Linked DNA regions of Mus musculus. The protein of the gene in region 1 purifies or fractionates together with the protein of each later gene. This does not show direct contact. Links are inferred from orthologs where the notes say so. Each region holds a gene or a part of one and is shown on either strand. Other genes may lie near its edges.

Evidence for each region. The genes of interacting proteins can lie anywhere in the genome.
Region 2: the proteins of Larp7 (region 1) and Zc3hav1 purify together in Homo sapiens (affinity purification with mass spectrometry; 3 studies listed by BioGRID and IntAct, with this or other methods). This does not show direct contact. The link is inferred for Mus musculus from reciprocal best matches to the Homo sapiens genes LARP7 and ZC3HAV1.

The regions. Positions count from the first base shown.
Region 1 is NC_000069.6:127,549,356-127,555,160, reverse strand, and holds the start of Larp7 (la-related protein 7), read left to right. Parts: upstream 1-1,811; 5' UTR 1,812-1,978; intron 1,979-5,805. UniProt on the Homo sapiens protein: RNA-binding protein that specifically binds distinct small nuclear RNA (snRNAs) and regulates their processing and function.
Region 2 is NC_000072.6:38,333,243-38,338,553, reverse strand, and holds part of Zc3hav1 (zinc finger CCCH-type antiviral protein 1), read left to right. Parts: intron 1-1,889; coding exon 1,890-2,142; intron 2,143-5,311.

The sequences.
Region 1 (5,805 bases):
CAAAACTGTATCTGTCATGGAGGACAGAACTGCGTGACACCACACAGGAAAATAAAGGTAAAACTCATAGTTACTAGAAATCTGTAAACATCTCTCCAGTGGCTTGCTATATACCAGAAAATGGATTGTTTTCCCTTCAACATGTACTGCTCCTTAGAACCCAACTTCAATTTTATTTTTCAAAATCATTATACTTACCACAAGATGGCCCCCTTGTGTCTTAAATTTTTCCTGCTAGCGTAATCCCTAGTTATCCAAGAACTAGTTTCAGGACCACAAATATTAACATCCGGCGCCAGCCACTTGAGTTCACATATAAAACGTCATAGTTGTTTCGCATATAATAGGAGCATGCACATATTTTCTAACATAAATAAGTTATCTCTAGATTACTTGTACCTAGTAGGTTGTAAATGATATGCAAACAGTGATTAAACTGCATTGTTCAAGAAATGGTAACAAGCCTGACTTGGTGGAACACAACTTTGATTCCAGTGCACAGGATGCACAGTCAGGTGGATCTGTGACTTCAAGGCAGCCTGGTTGCCTGTCTACCTATAGGGCTCCAGGACAGTCAGGACTAACTACATAGATAGACACTGTCTAAAAGGAAGAAATAAAAATGATAATTTAAAAATCTGTATGCTCAGTACTAACAACTTTTTTCTATTTCCCATCTATAACTGGCTGAATACAGATCCAGAAATTACAGGTACAGAGGGTTGACTATATACCCTAGTCAATATAGCACAACATCCTAGAGCCAAATATACAATATATAATTCCTCTGCAAGGAAAATTTTGTTCTTTCTTTTACCCAGTGCTAGGGGCTGACAAAAGGGACTATATGTAAACTAGGTAATAGTGCTTACATGCATCCAGTCCTTTATGTTTGTTTAAAATAGGATCTGACCATATTGCACAATCCCGTCCTAGCCTCTGGAAATAGCTGGGATATTACAAGCAATATGCCACCACACCCAGGAAGAAAAATCTCTTGGACAGTGCTGCAGCAGCCACTGTAACTACCATGTTAACTATAAGGTCAAATTTTGAAATCTTGAAATCGTCGATGGTGAACTGAATACAGATGCAAAAGCAGCACACATAAGCACACATATCTTCAAGTGGTTCCAGGGACATGACCTGACAATTAGTTAGCAATGAACATTTTAGGTCCTATTCTTTTAGGTCCTATTCTTGATCTATTACGTTAGGAAGTCCAGCTCTGGAGCCCAACAACAGTTTCTATCTGGCCCTCTGCAGTGATGAAAAACTGTCACAATAGCTCAGAACAGCACCGCTCAAACCAGGAAAGTTTCCAAACCACGAACGGCCTGCTAAACCACAAGGAACAGTACAGATCCCTAAAAGAAACATAGCTTCACTTGCCAAGCCTTGACACTTCAAGGTTTTGTATCACTAAATAATAATGGCCCCCTTGGTCCTATGTCAGCCCCTAAAACACCCACAACCGGGATGGGCCGCTATGGTGACCGCCTCACCCGGCACTCTAACGGCGCCTCGTGGGTCGCTTCCGTGGAGGCGAGTCAGTGTCCAGTGCTCTCCCAACCGCGCCAAGTCGCCCGGTCTGTCCACCCTTCTTGCCTAGAACACGGGAGAGAAAAGTCTCCACTTCACCGGCTCAATGACATAAACTCCACTTTCTAATTTCTCCCGCCAACTTAAGTGACGTCATCAAGCAGGGACGGTACCGCGGAGGCCCCGCCCGCCGCCGTTCGCAAACCACCAATGGAACTCCGCGTGCCAGCGCAGTCACCGCGTGGCTCCCGCCCCCGAGATGCTCCGCCTATGACGTCAGCAACGAACCCTGGGCCTCGGACCCGTCTTTCCGTAGCGGGCTGAGAGAAGCGCGTCGCTACTCGAATGACGCAAATTTCCGCCGACCGCAGGGGTCGGGAGAAGGAAAGCGTGGGAGAACACAAGCGCTGACCGTGGATCTGGGGACGAGCACGGAGTAAGTCACTACTGGCCTGCAGAGCCTCTCAGACCCGTAGAGGTGGGAACTCCTCTCAGTCGGGTCTCCTGAGGGCCACCCTCCATCCGCGGTCCGCCTCACCCCGCCCCCGTCGCCACTGTGCCGTTGGTTTGGCGCCGTGCGTTGTGCGCACGCGCAGTTCCCTGGCGGCCCCTGCTATTCGGAGCTCAGTACAGAGGGGGCGGGCCGAGCTTGGGGTTGGGGTGTTTGGGGCACGCCCGGCTGCGGGGGGGGGGGGGGGGGGGAGTCTGTGCGGAAGTAGGGTTGCTCAGAGGAACTGTGGGTGTTAGGCAGGTTGTCTTCCCAAAGGACATCAGTTGTGAGAACTTGCATTCTAAAGTTCAGTCTTTTCTTTTTGCTAGTCCCTCTATAGAAAAAGCCGTTGTAGAAGGGGCTAACAGTAATGAATTTAAGTTCTGAGTGCGTTTATGAGAAATTAAGGAGAAATATGAGTGGAGAGTTCATTGAGAATGGAAATCCTCAAGAAGTAAGACTGCCTTTTAGTAGTCTTTCGAAGCCGGGCGGTGGTGGGAAACCGAATGACTTCATAAAACATTCACACTAAAAGATTATTTGGAGCAAAGTTCCAGACCGCTAAAGGGTTTGCCGTGACTACAACTTTGGTTCTCAATCTTTTGGGTACTCTTCTTTTTGTTTAAAGCCTGGAAAATATTATTGTCGAGTTCCTTTGAAAATTTTACATGTACCTGTGGAAACATTTTGTATGTGATTTTACAAACAAAACCTTTGATTTAAAATTTAAAAAAAAAAAAATGGTCTTTTGCTTTACATCTAGCACAGCTTACTTCCAGATTATCTGTGACATTCACTGTCTTTGGGCAGTGTTGCAACTTTGTAACTTGTTGAAAACATAAAGATGAAAACCATGTTTGCCCAATCATTGCCCCTGACCAGTATATGTTAACATTCATTTTGACTTTATGCTGCATATTGATCTGGTCTTTTCTCCTTTAAACAGACTAGTTCCACTTAAATTTACCATATTCCTTTATATTTGTATAAGCATGATTTTACCTTTTGTTTAAAAGTTTGTCTTATAACATCTCATGGATTCCTAAGATGTCTTTAAACTCCCAGAAGTGTCAGGGAGGTCAGATGAAGAATTCCTGGGACAGCCCAGGCAGTGGTGACGCACACCTTTAATCCCAGCATTTGGGAGTTGGCAAAGGCAGGTGGATTTCTGAGTTCGAGACCAGCCCGATCTACAGAGTAAATTCCAGAACAGCCAGGCTATACAGAGAAACCCTGTCTTGAAACCACCACCCACCACCCCCCAAAAAAGAAATTCCTGGGTCAGAATATAGTGTGAATGCTGACAGAGTGTAGCTTCTACTAAACGGTAGACAGTGTAAGAGTCAAACACCTCGGTTTGCTTACCTACCTAGTTTTGACTGAATTACATAACCTTTCAGCCTCCCTTTGAAAAGGGGAAAGAAACGACCAAGTAGGATTGTCAAGATTTAAAACTATCTATCTATATAAATATCTGGCATTGCTTCACAGTAATTTCTTTGTTCCAAGACTGTGAGTTTTGTGGGTGGATGTTGTTTGTTTGTTTGTTTGTTTGATTGTTTGGAGGCAGGATTTTTTATGTAGCTCTGGCTGTCCAGAAATTCTGCAGAGCAGGCCAGCCTCAAACTCAGAGATCCACCTGCCTCTACCTCCCAAGTACTGGTATTAAAGTTGTGTATCACCACATTCATTTAGCAGTATATTTATGACACTACAAAAAAAAAGAAAAAAGAAAAACTTATCAGAATCACTAATGTTTCAAGTTTAGAAATAACCTTCACAGACTAGAAAGATAGCTCAGCCATGAAAAGCTAGGCTCACTCCCAAAAATATAAAATATAACCATCATAAACCATATGAGTATTATGGACAGGTGACACAAACTTCTGTAAAGGATAGGTGACTTCTAGTGCAATTATAAACTCATATTCTAATAGCAGATGGAGAAAACATTAAATGGGGGTAAGAGCCATTTCAAAGATGAAATTGATAGGATTTAGTGAAAGATTGGTAAAAATAACATGGCATCATGTTTTCCATGGCAGCTTTTCCCCCTTTGGGTTTTGGTTTTGTTTTGTTTTTTTTTGTTTGTTTGTTTGTTTTGTTTTTTGGGGTTTTTTTTTTGTTTTTTTGGGGGGGGGGGTAGGGGCAAGACAGGGTTTCTCTGTATAGCCCTGGCTATCCTGGAACTCAGTTTGTAGACCAGGCTGGCCTCGAACTCAGAAATCCACCTGCCTCTGCTTCCTGAGTGCTGGGATTAAAGGCATGCTCCACCACACCTGGCTGGTTTTTGTTTTTAAGATTTATTTTGTTTATGAGTACAGTGTAGCTGTCTTCAGACATACCAGAAGAGGGCATCAGATCCCATTACAGATGGTTGTGAGCCAGCATGCAGTTGCTGGGAATTGAACTCAGGACCTGTGGAAGAGCAGTCAGTGCTCTTAACTGATGAGCCATCTCTCCAGCCTGCGAGTCTTTTTTTAAACTTATGTAATATACATGTGTATGTATGAATGTATGTGTGTATACCGGAATATACGTGTGTGTGTGTGTGTGTGTGTGTGTGTGTGTGTGTGTGTGTGTATGAATGTATGCGTGTATACCGGAATATATGTGTGTATGTATGAATGTATGCATGTATACCGGATGCCCACAGAAGTCAGAAGAATGCTTGGATCCCCCTTGGAACCAGACTTATAGGCGGTTGTAAGCTTTGATATCAGTGCTAGAAACTGAACCTGTGTCCTCTGCAAGAGCAATAAGTATTCCTAACCACATCTCTGCAGACTTCTCCACAGCAACATTTTAAAGTGCTTAAACCACATTTTCTTTAATCAATCTTCACAGACTTGTGTCTACCTTTTATGGACCACAGAAATGAGAAAACTTCCAGACACATGCAGATATGGTTTGGTCAACTTGGTGGATTATAGTGTTAACATTAGTGAGGATAAATAGATTTTGGCCGGAAAGAATACATTTCCTTTGAAATGTGTGGAATGGCAATATAATTATTCATTACTACAGGACCTTGGGAAAGTACAAATAGGGTTAGGAGTGCAGCAAGGGCTGAGGAGTGGTTCAGTGGTAGGATATGGAAAGCCATGGGTCTAATTCCTATTCCTAGCATCAAGGAGAAAGACAGACAGAAAGTGGGTAGAGATGAGGAAGCTCTGTAACCAAGGTGTAGCCATTTAACTAACTGGTTTTCTTTGGACCTGGAGTAGGGAAGCTAAATTGTTCTGTAGTTTATGTGACTTTCTGTTTGGTCTGTAACTTGTTCCAAATTGAAGGTGTATTTGATCTGAACTGGAATATGCTAAGTTACAAAAGTAACCCTTAAGAGAAACAGGAAGAATGGCCTCTGGGCTAAGGTAGTGGAATGATAACTGTGAGCATCTGTGTTTTGCAGTTCTGTGTGCTCTGCTTTAGATCTAGTGGGTGAAGAGTAGAGTAGCTGTGAGTTCCACTATGCCTTGGATCAGAGTCTCGCAACCTTTCTCATGCTGTGACACTTTAATACAGTTCCTCATGTAGTACTAACTCCTAAGCATAAAATTATTTTGTTGCTGCTTCATGACTGTAATTTTTCTGTTTTAAGTAGTAATATAAATATCTGATATGCAGGTTATCTGATATGTGAGCCCCAAAAGTGTCTCACCTACAGGTTGAGAACCTCTGCCTTAGATGGTGGGCTTTGACAGGAAAAAGAACTAGAAAGCTGTAAGCCCGCCCATTATGATTAACAGTTAGCAGTGGAGCCTGCTCTGATC
Region 2 (5,311 bases), on another chromosome or scaffold:
CACTTTAAGAACTGTGGTCTAGAATTAGATTCGGTAGCACTTATGCGCTGAAGTCTGGTTCTAGAGGCTCTGTCACTATTCCTGGGGTCAGCCTTTGTCTCTGCATCCAGACTCATTCCCAGTTCATACAGCCTATTGAACTAAACACCTTCATCTTTCAGCTGCCTGCAAGGTGAGGCTAATGACTAATCATTTTCTTCACCTAGTGGCTCAGACACCTGCCTCAGACTTCTTACTTTGCACAATACAGTCTTATACTTTGTCACGCCGCCTCCCAACAGATGTTAGGCAGGCAGACAGAACAAATATTTTCCTTCTGCTGTCGAAAAGGAAACAGAAACTAGAAGGTCACTGGGACCGGGAGGTTACCCAGCTGCTTCTAGGGCCTTGACTTTAAAGCAGTCTCTGTTAGCCCTGTAGCCACATGATCTGATTGCACCATCCCTGGATTTTACTCCAGCTCTGTAGAGCTATGTGTGCAGATGTGTTTGTTTAGAATACTGTAACTGGGGGCTGGAGAGATGGCTCAGCGGTTAAGAGCACTGACTGCTCTTCTAAAGGTCCCGAGTTCAAATCCCAGCAACCATGTGGTGGCTCACAACCATCCGTAATGAGACCTGATGCCCTCTTCTGGGTGTCTGAAGACAGCTACAGTGTGCTTATATATAATAAATAAATTAAAAAAAAAATAGAACACTGGAACCTTCCTAACACTGTGCCCCTTTAATGCAGTTCCTTGTGTTGTGGGTGACCCCCAACCATCAAATTATTTCATTGCTACATCATAACTGCACTTTTGCTGCTGTTATGAATCTTACCCTGCTATTTGACCCCCAAAGGGAGTCTAGATAGTGGGTAAGGATTTCCTTACTGAGTTGGTTATGGTGGTGTGTGCCTGCAATCCCAGCACTTGGGAGGTCAGGGAAGCAGGATTATGAGTTGAAATCTAGTCTGTGCTACATGAGTCCTCGTGTCCAAAACCTGAAAGCAAGGCTGAGCAGCACAGTGGTGCGCACCTTTCATTCTGGCTAACAAACAAAAACCAAGTGGGGAGGAGTGTGCACACCTTTATCCCAGTTCCTGGGAGGCAGAGGCAGGTGGATGTCTTCATAGGTCAAGGAAGGCTGGAGAGATGACTCAAAGGTTAAGAGGGCCTGAGTTCAAGTCCCAGCAACCACTTGTAGTCATCCATACGGTGATATGATGCCCTCTTCTGGCCTGCAGCCACACATGCAGGCAGAGCGCTGTAAGCATAATAAATAAATAAATAAATAAATAAATAAATAAATAAATAAATCTCTTTTTTTTTAAAAGAGTTCATCACCCTACTTCTTCCCTCTCTCCCACCCCTCACATACAAAATCATTTGAACAGGTCCTATTCTGGCTATCAGAGACAAATGACAAAATCCCAAAGTTGCAAATAACACACACACACTTTTTTTTCCTTTCAACGGTAGAGTAAGTTAAGATCCAAATTAGACTTCCTCTTTGGGGCTCCCTTATGATGTCCTGTGTACAGCTTGCCATGTGAGTTTGATTCTCCCAGGAATTATCAAATTCATCACTATTTTTCTCCTTTAAGTTTCCTTTCTTTTAAATGCAAGGTTTCTGCACTGCATTTGTGATCCTCTTTGCCTCGGCCTCCTGAACACTGGGTTACAGGTATGCACCATCATACGTGATATTGTCTGTTAATTCTTTCGACTCTTCTGTCCCCAAATAAGTCACCAGTTGAAGCCATCTCATCAGCCTTGGGTGTTGCGTGCATTGTTTCCCCCATGGCTCTCCTGGGTTGTTTTTTTTGGGGGGGGGGGCTGCACCCTTAACTGGTGGTGTGGCAGCCAGGTCCAGGTGTTCTTGCCTCATGGTTCTTTCTTTCTTCTCTAGATATGCAAGAGTTACAAAGGAGAGGGCCGCAAACAGATCTGCGGGCAGCCGCAGCCCTGCGAGAGACTCCACATCTGTGAGCACTTCACCCGGGGCAACTGCAGTTACCTCAACTGTCTCAGGTCTCATAACCTGATGGACAGGAAGGTGTTGGCCATCATGAGGGAGCATGGGCTGAGTTCTGATGTGGTCCAGAACATCCAGGATATCTGCAACAACAAACACACTCGGAGGAACCCCCCTAGCATGAGAGGTATGCCCTTTCCCTTTTAACTGTGTGAATTTGCAAATGTACAGAAACCACAGTGGGGCATAGTGACACACACCTTTCATCCTAGCACTCAGGAGGCAGAGGCAGGAGGATTTCTGAGTTCGAAGCCAGCCTGATCTACAGAGTGAGCTCTGGGACAGCCAGGGCTACACAGAGAAATCTCATCTCAAAAAACAAGCAAGCCAGCAAACACAAACAGAAGGAAAACTGCAAGAAATCTGCCTGTAAAATCTCAACTTCACTATCTGCATGCACCACTTTAATACAATTGAAACAATGATGTGTATGCAGTTTTACAAGTGGCTCTATCCCCTCATTTTAAAAGAGCTTATTATAGTCTGGTGGTGGTGGCACACACTTTTATATAACATACCGGCACTCAGGAGGCAGAGGCAGGTAGATCTCTGAGATGGACACCAGCTTGTTCTATGGAGCTAGTTCCAGGACATCCAGGGCTACAGAGAGAAACCCTGTCTTCAAAAAAAAAAAAAAAAAGTTTGCTTGGGGGTGGGACATGTGTGCATCAGTTAATTCCAGGGCTTTGGAGACAGAGGCTAGCCTCAGGAAACTCTAGCTTGTGTCAAGTTGACATAATAAGACTGGCCAGCATGACTGTATTACTTATTATTTTGTGTGTGTATATACAGCCATATGTGTGGAGGTCAGAGGTCAACTTCAGGAGCTCTCTTTCCCCAGACTAACCCCAAGTCATTCAGGCTTGGTGGCAGGCACTTTTATCCACTGAGCCATCTCACTGGCTCTTCTTGTCTAGTGGACGCAGTAGAAGCCAAGTTTATGAAGGGGGTAGAATCTCTGACTCTAGGATCTGCAGTGAAGCAATGAAAAGCTACGTCTCCTGGTACTTAGTCTACAGAAGACTTTGCCCCAGAATCTGTCATCATTACTCCTCACAGCGAAACTGTGATCAATGGCGGGTTTATTACTCATTAACTTCACCTAGGGTAAGGAAAGGAGTGTTATAAGTCCTAAGCAGCTTTAACTCATGCTTGGAAGACCAAACAGTACTGTGAAGATGAAATCAAAAGCCGTGCTTGTGACCCGAGCACAGGAATGCAGCTTCCACACCACAGTGCCCTGAACAGAGAGTGACTGTAGAGGTGGGTTTGTGAGCTCTTCACAGCGTGCGGGAGAGAGCTGCATATCATTGTTACTTCTAGTTAAGCTATGTAGTTAGACATCATGACGGGGGAGTAACTAAGCTAGCTCAGGCAGTCAACGGGTTCTCCAGGTCGGGAGTGAGGGTTAAAAAAGACAGTTAGACAACACTGTAGCATGACCCCAGCCAGTTCTGAGACTAAAGGCGAGTTTATTTTTTTCCAGTCTGCTTTTATATCATTCTGGGTACATACAAAGAATATGGTCAGTCCTTAAGGCGTAGACAAAGTAGTCAAGGAACAAGCAGGGCAAAAATCAAGGCAATAAACAGAGGTCACTGTGTCTAGGGGTTTATCAGGATGGTCCAGATCCAAAGAACACGTTCTTCATCTGTATTTGCCTTGAGCCTACTTCATTGTCCCAGCCTGATATCAAATTCCTACCAAACTCCTAGAAGCAGCCCCAAAAGCTCTCCACAGGGGAGCCTTGCTTTTGCCACAATACTGTTGTCCCCTTTCCTCTACCAGGATAATACACACATGTTCCTCATAAGCAAACAGACCCTACTGCACCTCCACCCCCAGCTTTCAAATGCCTTTCCACAACAGACGTCACCTACGTAGGTACCACGCCAGACTTCACACACTGGGTCACTCCTGTCTTCTCTGCTTCCCAGACTTTTCTAGAGAAAAGATGCTGCTTTATCAGCGTCTCCGGATTTTTTTTCTCCCTTCAATATATATACAATGTAGGGCAGGCTAGCCTAGAACTTGCTGTGTAGCCAAGGCTGGACTCCTGTCTTAGCATCCTAAGCACTGGGATTATAGGCATGATCCACCCCGTCTGCCTTCAATTTCAGCTTTTCATAAGTTTAGGCACTTGTGGTAAATATTTTGGTTTTTGGTTTTTGGTTTTTGGTTTTTCGAGACAGGGTTTCTCTGTATAGTCCTGGCTGTCCTGGAACTCACTCTGACCAGGCTGGCCTCGAACTCAGAAATTCGCCTGCCTCTGCCTCCCGAGTGCTGGGATTAAAGGCGTACGCCACCACGCCCGGTGTGGTAAATATTAATTGGGTGTTTCTACCCCACCTTAAGTCATTTAGTTTCCAAATACAAAGCCTTTATATTTATAATAATCCTTTAAAGCACGAGAGCTGGGCAGATATCAACGCTCTGTGCTATTTTGTCTATTTCCCTGTCAATAATCCTGAACTATCACTTGCCATGTTCCACCTGGGCTGCCTCTGCTCCATCAGGCCGTCCCTCGCGGCCATGTGCTCATGATCCACCTACCCCATGGTACCTTCTTCCTCCTCTCCCCTCTCCCCTCTCCCCTCTCCCCTCTCCCCTCTCCCCTCTCCCCTCTCCCTTCTCCCTTCTCTCCTTTCTCTTCTCAGTCTCTACTCAGAAGCCAAGCCTGGGAAGCTAAGCCCCGCCTACCTCTCTTCAGCCAAGCTGTAAGCATCTTTATTCAAACAATAGTTTCAAATTAAGGATTAAGGTTTTGCACAACAAAAGCTGGCATCTGTGAGAATTCCCTGTCTTGAGACAACTAGACCATTACAGTACATAGATAGCAACAGCCCTAGCCTCAAGAGGCGCTAAGGGAGCTAGAGGAAGAAGCCTGGAGAGTTTGTGGCTTAGACGAAGGCTTAGCTTGAACCTGCAGCCATTTACCATTTGGTTTCAGTGTTAGAAGTGCCTGTTCCAGAACCCAGATCGGAATGCGTGACGTCTCCATGAGTCGTGGACATGTTTCTCTCACTGGCTACATTTCAGCTGTCATTCGCTGTAGTAATGACCGTTAACTCAGAACTAGAGTCTGGAGACACCCCACCTGGGGTCTTGGGGACTGGAGGGCTCACTGAGTCCCAGGAGAGGCCAGAGGAGCTTTGGAGTCCTCCCTTGTCTGAGCCACCCACACGCTGCTGTTGTGGACTCTGCCAGGTTGCAGCTTCGTCCTAAGATTCGCAGCCACCACTTAGGAAACTCCTATGATAGAACTCAGCTACAGGGCTGGACAAGCAGAGAGAACA